2 linked regions of the Anolis sagrei genome follow. The protein of the gene in region 1 purifies or fractionates together with the protein of each later gene. This does not show direct contact. Links are inferred from orthologs where the notes say so. Each region holds a gene or a part of one and is shown on either strand. Other genes may lie near its edges.

What was found. The genes of interacting proteins can lie anywhere in the genome.
Region 2: the proteins of STAT1 (region 1) and PIAS1 purify together in Homo sapiens (affinity purification with western blotting; 5 studies listed by BioGRID). This does not show direct contact. The link is inferred for Anolis sagrei from reciprocal best matches to the Homo sapiens genes STAT1 and PIAS1.

Annotation. Positions count from the first base shown.
Region 1 is NC_090021.1:182,696,524-182,703,470, reverse strand, and holds the start of STAT1 (signal transducer and activator of transcription 1-alpha/beta), read right to left. Parts: upstream 3,012-6,947; 5' UTR 2,908-3,011; intron 1-2,907. UniProt on the Homo sapiens protein: Signal transducer and transcription activator that mediates cellular responses to interferons (IFNs), cytokine KITLG/SCF and other cytokines and other growth factors.
Region 2 is NC_090029.1:24,240,713-24,247,577, forward strand, and holds the start of PIAS1 (E3 SUMO-protein ligase PIAS1), read right to left. Parts: upstream 3,022-6,865; 5' UTR 2,973-3,021; coding exon 2,949-2,972; intron 1-2,948. UniProt on the Homo sapiens protein: Functions as an E3-type small ubiquitin-like modifier (SUMO) ligase, stabilizing the interaction between UBE2I and the substrate, and as a SUMO-tethering factor. Catalyzes sumoylation of various proteins, such as CEBPB, MRE11, MTA1, PTK2 and PML.

The DNA of each region.
Region 1 (6,947 bases):
AGGATTTTTTATATTTTAATATTATATTAATATTATAGTATTAAAATATAAACATTTATTATTATTATTATTATTATTATTATTATTATTATTATTGCCACAGGACTGTTTTGTTGTTTGTCTAGATTACAAAATTGATCCAGGATTACAATCACCCATGAAAAGAATAATTGACTCAGAAACATGCATCAGTAGTAGTATCTAACACAGTAGTATCTAACACAGTAGTATATAACACAGAATATCAAGGCAGAAAATTTCATGATATCTGCTTTAACTGGCATATCGGAGTCCACACTGCCATATATTCCAGTTCAATGTGGGATTTTATTCTTCTGTGTAGAAGGGGACTAAGCTCCAGCTCCTCATGCAGGGACATGAGAGAAGCTTCCTACAAGGATGCTAAAAACATCAAAACATCCAGGCATCCCCTGGGCAACGTCCTTGCAGACAGTCAATTTTCTACACCAGAAGCGACTTGCAGTTTCTCAAGTTGCTTCTGACATGACAATATATATATATATATAAATGGCAGGGAACAGAAAGTGGTCAAGACTATATATTCAGAGGTGGACATCGGAATAGATCTTGGGTTGATGTGAGTTTTCGGGGATATCTGGCCATGTTCCAGAAGCATTCCCTCCTGAAGTTTCACTCACATCTATGGTAGGCATCCTCAGAGGTTGAGGGTTCTGTTGGAAACTAGGCAAGTGAGGTTTATGTATCTGTGGAATAATGTCCAGGGTGGGAAAAAGAACTCTTGTCTGCTTGTGGTAAGTGTGAATGTTGCAACTGGCTACCTTGATTCACACTGAATGGCCCTGCAGTTTCAAAGTCTGGCTGCTTCCTGACTGGTGTATCCTTTGTTGGGAGGTGTTAGCTGGCTCTGATTGTTTCATATCTGGAATTCCAATTTTCTGGGTGTTTTCTGGATTCCCCTTGGCAGGAAGCAGCCAGGCATTGAAGCTGCAAGGCTATTAAATGCTAACCAAGATAGCCAATTGCAAGATTCACACTTGCCTCCAACAGACAAGAGTCCTTTCTCCCACCCTGGATATTCCACAGATATATAAACCCAACTTGCCTAGTTTCCAACAAACCTCGCAACCTCTGAGGATGCCAGCCATAGATGTACGCAAAATGTCAATAGGGAATGCTTCGGGAACATGGCCAAACAGCCTGGAAAAATGACAGCAACCAGTGATTCTGGCCATGAAAGCCTTTGGCAACACATGGAACAGTTCTTGCCAAGAGTAACCTGTTTTGAGATTATCCAAAGGTCTGGCTGCACTTGAAGGCAAATAACAAGAAAAGGGAAGGAGGGGAAAGACATATAGGTGGCACCTTTAAGATCAAATGATTCTTATCTGACACATGTCCTTCATGAATATCCAAAAAATCAGTCTTAAAGATTCTGCCGTGTACCAGTTGTTGTACTCCTCCCTTTCTCCTTTTAGGCTACTTCTCTGAAAACAATAACTGATGCTTTGACAAGGCTGCTCAACCCCAGAATGCCACACCTGCCATCTGCATGAAATATGAACATTAAAAATAAATGTACTCCAAAAAGTTGGATTTGGCAATTACATGCCCCTGGAACACAAGAAAGTAGAACATACGAAAGGCTGGGATAAGCAGGTAATCTTAAATGGGCGACCAGATGTCATGAAAAGACAGCTCTACAATGTATTGTCGAAGGCTTTCATGGCCGGAATCACTGGGTTGTTGTAGGTTTTTTGGGGCTATATGGCCATGTTCTAGAGGCATTCTCTCCTGACGTTTTGCCTGCATCTATGGCAAGCATCCTCAGAGGTCTCACTACCTCTGCGGATGCTTGCCATAGATGCAGGCGAAACGTCAGGAGAGAATGCCTCTAGAACATGGCCACATAGCCCAAAAACCCTACAACAACCCAGACATCTCTACATTCATTAAGAACTAACAGATCTCTGATGCCTCTGCAACACTCCATACAGCATACAGATTATCTGCTTTGAGCCTAGCTGCTTTGAACTGGATTACATGGCAATGTAGACTCAAATAATTCAGTTCAAAGCAGACAATGTGGATGATCTGCATTGATAACCTGGATTTCATATATCAGTGTAGATGGGACCAGGAGCCCCTTCCACACAGCTGAATAAAATCCCATATTATCTGCTTTGAACTGGAATATATGGCAGTGTAGACTCAGATAATCCAGTTCAAAGCAGACAATGTGGATGAACTGCACTGATAACTTGGATTTTATATATCAGTGTAGATGGGACCAGGAGCCCCTTCTACGCAGCTGAATACAATCCCATATTATCTGCTTTGAACTGGAATATATGGCAGTGTAGACTCAAATAATCCAGTTCAAAGCAGACAATGTGGATGACCTGCATTGATAACCTGGATTTTATGTATCAGTGTAGATGGGACCAGAAGCCCCTTCTACACAGCTGAATAAAGTCCCACATTATCTGCTTTGAACTGGGATATGTGGCAGTGTGGACTCAGATAACCCAGTTCAAAGAATATATTGTGGGATGTTTCTGTCTTGATATTCTGGGTTATGTAGCTGTATGGAAGGGCCCTGAGGGAAGTCTAAGGGCCCTTCCACACAGCCACATTATCTGCTTTGAACTGGGAGTGCATCTATACTGCAGGATGGATGCAGTTTGACTTCACTTTCCATGGCTCAAGGAATGCCTGGATTTGTAGTTTGGTGAGGCACCAGCACTCTTTGGCAGAGAAAGCTTTAGACCTTGCAAAACTACAACTCCCCTGATTCCAGAGAACTGAGCCTGGTCAGTTAGAGAAGTGCCAAACTGCATTATTTTTCTCCAGTGTAGATGCACCCCATAGCAATTAAAGGAGAGGGGATCCAATTGCATTAATTCAAAAGGTAGGTGCAGCACTCACCTCACAGTTTTCCCACTCCACAATCGGACACACAACCACAGCAGCACTGCCTCTCCTTTCCTTCCTTCTCTGCTTCTGTAGAAAACGAAACTGCCTCTGACCAGGAAATAGCAAACTGCGAGAGGCAGGCGACCAATCAAAAAGAGGCTGGCAGCTAGGCTCAACCAATCCGGAAAGACCGCCGCCTCTTGATGGAATACCGCTGTTCCTGCAACTTCTCCTCCTCCCTCTTCTGGCTTGTCATTGATGCAAACAGCAGAGTTGTCAGTTTAATTTAGTTTTATTACCTTTTTTTGGCCAAAATCCTTCCATCCGCGCCTGAAAACATAGACATTTATGGGTTGCTGTGAGTTTTCCAGGCTGTAAAGCCATGTTCCAGAAGCATTCTCTCCTGACGTTTCGCCTGCATCTAAAGCAGGCAACCTCAGATATTGTGAGGTCTGTTGGAAACTAGAACAAGTGATATATATCTGTGGAATAATGTCCAGGGTGTGCAGGACATTCCACAGATATATAAACCCCATTTTTCTAGTTTCCAACAGCCTTTGAGGATGCAGGTGAAACGTCAGGAGAGAATGCTTCTGGAACATGGCCTTACAGCCCAGAAAACTCACAGCAATCCACTTATTCTGGCCATGAAAGCCTTTGAGAATGAATACATTTATTTTTATTTCCAGGGTGGATTTCCCTTATGTTTAGTCAAAAATTACCATGATGAGGATTTCTTATATTGTAATATTATGTTAATATTATATTATTAAAATATAAACATTAATAATAACAACAACAACAACAACATGGGACCTTCAATGTCGCATGCATGGGAACAGATACAAAACAGCAACTTTCTGTTGGAATGCAACTCCCATGACTTCCATGATTCAATGCTATGGAGTCCTGGGGTCTGTAGATCTTGTAAAATTACAACTCTCGTGAATCCATAGTATTGCTCCATCATGGCAGTTAAAGTGATGTCAGAGTAGTATACACCCAACAACAACAACAACAACAACAACAACAGGATTTAAAGATCAAAGTGCAAAGACTCTGGCACAAGCCAGTCAAGGTGGTCCCAGTGGTGATCGGCACACTGGGTGCAGTGCCTTGGCCTGTGCTTAAACACAATTGGCGCCAATACATCACACAGTATTAGACACTTGGGAAGTGTCCGATAATAATAGGATTTAAAGATCAAAGTGCAAAGACTCTGGCACAAGCCAGTCAAGGTGGTCCCAGTGGTGATCGGCACACTGGGTGCAGTGCCTAAAGACCTTGGCCTGCACTTAAAAACAATTGGCGCCGATACATCACACAGTATAAAGACTCTGGCACAAGCCAGTCAAGGTGGTCCCAGTGGTGATTGGCACACTGGGTGCAGTGCCTAAAGACCTTGGCCTGCACTTAAATACAATCTGTGCCGATACATCACACAGTCCTAGACACTTGGGAAGTGTCCAACGTGTGATCCAATACAACAGCCAGCAGAGTGTCTGCTGTGCACTCATCTTGTTGTGTTTCAAATAAAATAACAACAACAATAACAACAACAACAACAAATCTGGGCTACCAAACAGCAAGAAATTCACCAAAAATGTCCCACTTGTTGTATATGGATGATCTACAGCTTTAAGGAAAATCAGAAATTGAGATCCAGTCACTGACCAACACAATCAGAATTGGCACACTGGGTGCAGTGCCTAAAGACCTTGGCCTGTGCTTAAACACAATTGGCGCTGACTAATAATAATAATAATTATAATAATTATAATAATAATTATTATTTATCTGCCTCTTCTTAAGGCTCGAACTCGCATTGAGGAGCTGTCAAGGTAAACATTTGCAAACCGCAACAAGTCTTCCTGGCCTGACAACAAAAATAATTCTCCTGATTTTCCTGGAAAGACAAAAAAAAAGCTAAGAGCGCGGGGGGGGGGGGGGGGAGAGCAGTGGCCGCAAGGGCAGGGGAGGGAGGTGGCGCGTTCCAGGGAACAGCCGCCGCCACGTGGTTTCTGGGAAACAGAGGCTTGTAGAGGAAAAGCCTCAGGCAGAGAAAGCGAAAGTTAAAAAGGATCCCCGGGAGGGGAGGGGGAGGGAGGGAGGATCCACCTGCAGATCTGGCTCGGAGGAAGCGGAAGGGTTCTAGGCTCAGGCTTCTAGGCTCAGGGCCCTTCCACACAGCCCTATACCCCAGAATATCAAGGCAGAAAATCCCACAATATCTGCTTTGGACTGGGTTATCTGATCCCACACTGCAATATAGTCCAGTTCAAAGCAGATAATGTGGGATTTTATTCAGCTGTGTGGAAGGGGCACCAGACAGGCCCTCTATCCCAGGATCTGATCCCAGGTTTTCTGCTTTAAACTGGATTATATGAGTCCACACTGCCAGATAATCTGGGATAAACTGAAAACCTGGGATCAGGTCCTGGGATAGAGGGCCTGTCTGGGAGGGCCTTAAGATATTGTAACCTTATATTAGAGAGTACCCATGAGTTTCCTTTTTAAAAAAAATATATTAAAATCTTCGGCTAGAGGGGCAATAATAATACCTTTATAAATAATGGTATTATTATTTTACTGACACAAAAATACAGTATGTCACAGCAAATGAGATCTATATCCTGGATTTCGTATCAAACACTTCCCAAGCGTCTAGGACTGTGTATTATTATTATTATTATTATTATTATTATTATTATTATTATTTGAAACAGTACAAGATGAGTCCACAGCGGACACTCTGCTGGCTGTTGTATTGGATCACACGTCGGACACTTCCCAAGTGTCTAGGACTGTGTGATGTATCGGCAAATAATGCGTGCAGATCCCAGTAAGGTGGCCTTCTGCAGCTGGCAGATGGTAATTTTGTCAGCATCAATTGTGTTTAAGTACAGGCTAAGGTCTTTAGGCACTGCACCCAATGTGCCGATCACCACTGGGACCACCTTGACTGGCTTGTGCCAGAGTCTTTGCAGTTCAATCTTTAAATCTTCATATTGTGTCAGCCTTTCCAGTTGCTTCTCTTAAATCCGGCTGTCGTCTGGGATTGCAACATCCACACTCTGTTTTGTAACATGATCGTGAGGTCAGGAGTCCTGTGCTCCAAAACTCTGTCTGAATTCAGAAGTCCCAAAAGCGTTTGGTGTGTTCATTTTCTATAACTTTTTTCCGGCCTGTGATTCCACCAGTTCTTTGTCACAGGCAGATGGTATTTGTGGCACAAGTTCGAATGAATCATCTACGCAACGGTGTTATGCCTCTACTTGTAGTGATCTTCTTGCATCAGCTGAAGATGTGATCTATTGTTTCCTCTGCTTCCTTGCAGAGTCTACACTTGGGATCTGTCGTTGACTTTATTATTATTATTATTATTATTATTATTATTATTAGAAATGCAACAAGATTTGTACACAGCAAACAAGATCGCTGGCTGTTGTATTATTATTATCATCATCATCATCATCATCATCATCATAGCCAATGCATCAGTGACTTAAGTCTTTCTAGCATAAATCTATTGTGTCCATGGGATAGGATTTGCACACAGGAGAAGCAAACAGTTCAATGATTACACTGTTTGGAAAAAAAATGAAAAATGTTCTGTTCTTGGTTTGAAAGCATTATTTCCTGTTTACTTGTGCAGAACTTACTTTGGGCTCTTCCACACCTCCATATAACCCAGAATATCAAGGCAGAAAATCCCACAATATCTGCTTTGAACTGGGTTATCAGAATCCACACTTCCATATATTCCAGCTCAAAGCAGATAATGGGGTTTTTTATTCAGCTGTGTGGAAGGGGGCTTTGAAAGTAGTTGCTATACCCGAGAAACTTCATTTTTGTGGCTGCCACAGACAATGTTGAATTGGCTGAGACCGTATGAGATATTCATTGGAAAACTATAGCAAAATGTACTGCAGGATGTCCTGCAAAAACAAATAACAAACCTTTTCCATGTTTTTTTTATCATAATTCCAATTAGGAAATAACATTTATAACCCAGGGAAAAAATTGTTACATTATGTGTCATTTTGCAAGGA
Region 2 (6,865 bases), on another chromosome or scaffold:
TTTACTACCTGGCCACCGGCCTCTCCTCATATGAACCTGTCCAGACACTGCATTCATCAAGTGAGACCCTCCTCTTGGCCTTCCAGCTGGTTGGGATGAGAGAAAGGGCCTCTCTGTAGTTGCCCTCACCTCTGAAACCCTCACCCAAAAGAGATCAGAATGACCCCCATGCTCCCCTCTTTCAAAAAACAACTAAAAGTTATCTATGCTCCCAGGTTTATGGAGAATCAAACATTTCAATATCTGGCTTTCTACACAATTAATGGTCTACAGATAGAGCTTTAATGAAAAATATGGTTTTTAATCTATCAACCTGGCTTTTAATCTTGCTTTTAATTGTTGCCGTGAATCATGTTTTGTTGATTTGTTATGATGTTTCATTATGATAAATTGTTTAATTATTTGTATTTTTAATTTATTATGTATTTGTATTTTGTTATGTATTTGTGTGGCATCGAATGGTTGCCATCTATGTTGTAAGCCACCCTGAGTCCCCAGAGGGAGATGGGATGGGATATAAATAAAGTTTGAAGATAATAATTATCATAGATTCACACAGGCCATCTAGTCCAACCCCCTGCCATGCATGAAAAGCACAAAGTACCCCTGACAGATGGCCACCCAGCATCTATTTAAAAGTTTCCAAGGAAGGAGCTTCCAGCAGACTCCATGACAGAGAGTTCCACTGATGAACAGCCCTTCTTACAATCAAGAAGTTCTTCCTCGTGTTCAGGTGGAATCTCCTTTCCTGTCATTTGAACTCATTACTCCACTGAGTCCTAGTCTCCGAGGCAGCAGAAAGGATGCCGGCTCCCTCCTCTCTTATGACATCCTTTCACATATTGATACATGGCTTTCATGTCTCCTCTCAACTTTCTCTTTTTTCAAACTAAACAAGACACCAGATATTTGATCATTTTGGTCACCCTCCTCTGGTGGGTGACCAAGCTTAGAGTCAATATTATTTATTTATTTATTTCTCGCATTTCTATCCCATCCTTCTCAACCCCTGAAGGTTGAGAAGGACGGCCCCATGGGGCCGACTCAGAACGGCCCCATTCCGAAGCGACTACATAACAAATTACAAAATTAAAACCACAATTAGACATAAAAGCATAAATAACAATACATAAGCCATTGTCAAAACAGTAAAACAGTCTCATCAGCCATATCATCATTCCAGGCACATTCCCTTAAAGTGCTGCTTGCATCTATTGTCCAAAAGCCTAGCCCCAAAACCATGCCTTTAATTTCTTACGAAAAGCTAGGAGGGAAGTGGCCGATCTTACCTCAGTTGAGAGTGTATTCCATAGGCGGGGGGCCACTGCTGAGAAGGCCCTGTCTCTCGTCCTCACCAGGCGCATTTGTGCTGTTGACGGGAGCGAGAGCAGGGCCTCCCCGGATGATCTTAGGTTTCGAGGAGGGACATAGGGGTGGATGCGTTCGAATAAGTAAGCTGGTTCAGAACCGTATAGAGCAGTGGTTCTCAACCTGGGGTCCCCAGATGTTTTTGGCCTACAATTCCAACAACTTCGCTTCTGGCCAGAGCGAAGACAGAAGGGAGCAGAAGACATTTCCATCTTGTATTTACTAATAATATAATATAGTATATTGTATATACATATAATATTTATAACATTATAATGTAATACAATATAATACTAGTAATAATAATTCAATATTATAATTATAATTATATATTTACATTACATGTAATATTACTAATAATATTACAATATAATGGTATAGTGCAATATAGCAATATATACTGATATTGTACTATGCTAATATAATATATTGTATGAAAATATATATTGTAAGCCACTCTGAGTCCCCTTCGGGGTGAGAAGGGCGGCATATAAATGCCGTAAATAAATAAATAAATAAAACTCCCAGAAATCCCAACCAGTTTATCATTGGTTAGGATTTCTGTGAGTTGAAGGCCAAAAACATCTGGGGACCCCAGGTTGAGAACCACTGGTATAGAGCTTTATAGGTCAAAACCAGCACTTTATTTATTTACTTACTTACTTACTTTGCTTGTATACCGCAGTTTCTCAGCCCGTAGGCGACTCAACGCGGTTCACAACAAGATCAAAAAGTCAGTCCAACAGCATAGTTTAAAAACCATTAACAGCATAGTATAAAAGTAATAACACATCAATAACAACACATTAACGTCTCGTAACTAGAATCGTAGTCCAATTCGTCATCCGTGATTCCGTTCCTATATTCATCGTATTCATTGCACTGTTTAACCGAATGCCTGTTTAACCTTTATCTCTTTTGAACTGTGGTGAACAGAATTGGACACAGAATTCCATGTGAGGTCTGACCAAAGCAGAATACAAAGGCACTAAGACTTCCCTTGATCTGGACCAGGCATGGGAAAACTTAGGAATTGTGGGAGTTGTAGTCCAAAACACTTGGAGGGTCGAATTTGCCCATGCCTGCTCTGGAGTATTAGTTGTTGTTCTTATTGCATTTGCGTCTCGCCTTGGTGCGGGAGAAAAGCGGGGTACAAATCGACTCAGATAAGTAAATAAATCAATATTGCCTGCCAGGGATCTATGAAGCCAGTTTCTGAAACGGGAGGAAATAGAGAATGCGTGTCCTACCTCGCAGGGCGGCAGGGAAGACCCTTCCTGAGGGAAACAGCTCCTTTGGGGGGCCAGGGGGGCCTCCTAGGGGTCTCCCTCCCATTTACAAAGCTCCTGAGGGAAGAGAAGGGAAGCTGCCCCTCCTGAACGCCTTTTCCTCCCTCAGCCGAACTCTCCTTTCTCCCTCTCAGGCCAGGAGGCCGGCGGAGGGTCGAGAGGAAGGGAAAGGCCCGAAGCCTGAGGGAAAGAACCGGAGAGAAAGAAGGGGAGAGGGGGAATCAAGCAGGGGGGACGAGGAGAAGGAAGCTGCGGGGGGAAAAGGGGGCCCCTTCCGAACTGCGCCTTTACCTTTAGTTCCGCACTGTCCGCCATCTTGAATCGCGGGGCGCATGCGCAGTGGGCTCCACCGAGAACCCCGCCCCCTCCGCCGCCTCGGCCTGCGCGCGCTGCGTTTGAATCGGCGCCGCCGCGCCTGCCGCCATTTTGTTTGGGTCCCGCCTCAAAGCGGGGTTGGGACCCGAGGCGGGAAAGGAGTCCCAACCCCCCCCCCCCCCCTCCGTCGCCCCGTAACCCAGACTTCTCGATATTGTACACATATTACATTCATTTTCCTCATAACCACGGTGAGGATGAAGTCAATGGCGTTTTGAAGGGGTGTTGAGGAGAACTTCAGGCTGGTTCTGGGAAGGCGCATGCGCAGAAAGAAGCGCGCCTAGCCACTGGATTCCAGGCTTGTGAAGGAAAAAGAGCCTCAAGTTGACTGTGATCCAGATAAAGGCCTCGCTTTTACCTCACCACATCCATGGAGAAGAGTCGGGACTGTCCTTTGGGAGTCTCTATATATATCTACATAAGCCAGAAATGGAAAAGAATAGCACAGGATCATATATGTCATGAGAAATGGTAGTTTTGCATGAAGCCAATGGGATTGTGGCCTGCATCAATAGGAGCATAGTGTCTAGATCTAGGGAAGTAATGCTACCCCTTTATTCCACTTTGGTTAGACCACACCTGGAATATTGTGTCCAATTCTGGGCACCACAATTCAAGAGAGATGATGACAAGCTGGAATGTATCCAGAGGAGTGCGACTAAAATGATCAAGGGTCTGGAGAACAAGCCCTATGAGGAGCGGCTTAAGGAACTGGGCATGTTTAGCCTGAAGAAGAGAAGGCTGAGAGGAGACATGATAGCCATGTATAAATATGTGAGAGGAAGCCACAGGGAGGAGGGACCAAGCTTGTTTTCTGCTTCCTTGGAGACTAGGACGCAGAACAATGGCTTCAAACTTCAAGAGAGGAGATTCCATTTGAACATGAGGAAGAACTTCCTGATGAGAGCTGTTCAGCAGTGGAACTCTCTGCCTCGGAGTGTGGTGGAGGCTCCTTCTTTGGAAGCTTTTAAACAGGCTGGGTGATTTGAATGCAATATTCCTGCTTCTTGGCAGGGGGTTGGACTGGATGGCCATGAGTTCCCTTCCAACTCTTTGATTCTATGATTCTAAGCCCATGGAATGGATCAACGACAAATCAGAATAGGAAAAATTGTTTGCCCACAGACTGCAAAAAAACAGTTGACTGTATTCAAGATAAAGACCTCAGTTTTACCTCCCCACATCCTTAGCGAAGAATCAGGACTGTCCTTTGGGAGTCTCTATATATGTCTATATAGGCCAGAAATGGAAAAGAATAGCATAGGATCATATATATTATGACAAATGGTAGATTTGCATGAGTGGATCCATCACAAATCGGAATCGGAAAAATGGACTCCTTTGAGGATTTGTGGAGCCCACAGACTGAAAAAAATAGTTGACTGTATTCAAGATAAAGGCCCCACTTTTACCTCACCACGGCCATGGCGAATAATCAGGACTGTCCTTTGGGAGTCTCTATATATGTCTATATAGGCCAGAAATGGAAAAGAATAGCATAAAATCATATATATTAAGACAAATGGTAGATTTGCATGAGTAGATCCACCACAAATCGGAATCGGAAAAATAGACTCCTTTGAGGATTTGTGGAGCCCACAGACTGCAAAAAAACAGTTGACTGTATTCAAGATAAAGGCCTCGCTTTTACCTCACCACAGCCATGGCAAAGAGTTTGGACTTTTACAAATAAAAATGTAATGTTCGTTTGTGATATTGACAGAACTCAAAAACCACTGGGGGAATTGACACCAAATTTGGACAGAACACAGCATTCAGAGCAATCTATGTTCTGCACTCAAAAAAAATCCTCCCAAAAAACAGCAAGACCTTAAATTTTAAAAGAGAACACTGTGCATGCATCCAAACGCATTATCTTCTCCCCCATCCCCGCCGCACGAGCACAGCCAGCTCGAGAGGCATCCCACAGCCATGGCAGAAAGAAGCGCCTCCCTCTCGCCTGCTCTGCGCCTGGCTCCGAGGATCCTTCCTTCCAGCACCCAGGCAAGAGGTAAAGCAGGGAAGGAAGGGAAGCAGCAAAGAAAGGAGAGAAAGAAAGAGGGAGGGAGAGAAAGAAAGCAGGAAAGAGAGAAGGAAGGATGGAAGCGAAGAGCAAAGGAAGGAAAGGGAGAGAAGGAAGAAAGGAGAGAAAGAAGGAAAATAAAAGAAAAGGAGGGAGGAAAGTGAGATGGAAAGGAAAAAAGGAAGGCATGAAGGAAAGAGGGAGAGAAGGAAGGAAGTTGAGAGAGAAAGAGGGAGGGAAGGTCGGCCACAGCACCTACTAACCCAAGGAGTTACCATCACTCAAAAAATTGAGTTTGTTATTTGGGAGTTGTAGTTCCTGGGATTTATAGTTCACCTATAATCAAAGAGCATTCTGAACTCCACCAACAATGGAACTGAACCAAACTTGGCACACAGAACTCCCATGACAACAGAAAATACTGAAAGGGTTTGGTGGGCATTGACCCTGAGTTTTGGAATTGTAGTTCACCTCCATCCAGAGAGCACTGTGGATTCAAATATTGATGGATCTGGACCAAACTTGGCATGAATGTTCCATAAGCCCAAATATGGACACAGATGGAGTTTGAGGGACATTGCCATTTGGGAGTTGTAGTTACTGAGATTTATAGTTCACCTACAATCAAAGATCATTCTGAACCCCACCAACGACAGAATTGGGGCAAACTTCCCACACGGAACCCCCATACTGAAGGCCATCCAGTCCAACTCCCTCCACCAGGTCAAGAAAACGTAATCAAAGCCCTCCTGACAAAGAGCCATCCAGCCATAGATTAGATAGATTCACACACAGAGAGATATAGTATAGATTTGAAAGGGACCCCTAAAGAAGGACAATTTCCATCTTGCATGTTCCAAAGTAGGCAAATCAGACAATCTCCACATCAACACTGACAAAGAAACAGCAAGAAATACTGTTGACCCACAAGCATAAAGACATTACATATATTAGAAACCAGCACTTTCTCATTACTTGATTTTCCAGGTCATCAGACGGCCACAACAATGCGTGGCAGGGGAGAGCTAGTATCTACATAAATAAAATGTAATGTTAGTTTGTGGGATTAACATAACTCAAAAACCACTGGATGAATTGACACCAAATCTGGACACAAGACACCTCTCATGCCAACAAGTGACCATCACTCATAAAAACACTGACAAACACAGTAGAAGGGACTTAAAAAGCCAAAAAACAAAATTTACATTGCAACGCATGCCAAAACCACATATACATACGTAAACACACATATACAAACATAAACACATATACATAGACTGGGCCACAGCAATGTGTGACAGGGGACGGCTAGTAGGAATATATGTGTGTGTGCTTATATATATATCGGCCAGAAATTGGAAGGAATTGCACAGGATCATATATATTTTGACAAATGGTAGATTTGTGTGAGCCCCAATGGAGTGGGTTGACAACAAATTAGATAAAGGAATAGGAAAACTCTGTCTGCTATGTTGATATGTGAAGCTGAGCTTATGGAAACATCGTTTTGTGGTTGCATTTCACCACAAAATATTTTAAAAGAAGAATACATTTCTGCGGAAACACTTCCCCAACATTTTATAGGCCATTATTTTGGTGTCACCTAAAATAATGGTAAAACTGAGGCCTCTATACTTTGAACGTATCGTGACACGAAGGTACTTAATGGAACTCATAGAAGATTGCACTGCAACTGGATGGATTCGGTCATAGGAGCCATGGCTGCTGAATTTGCAAGGTCTGAGCAGAACTGTTTTGCTGTCTTCCATATAGCATTCACATGACAGCAAATAATGACAACTGTTGA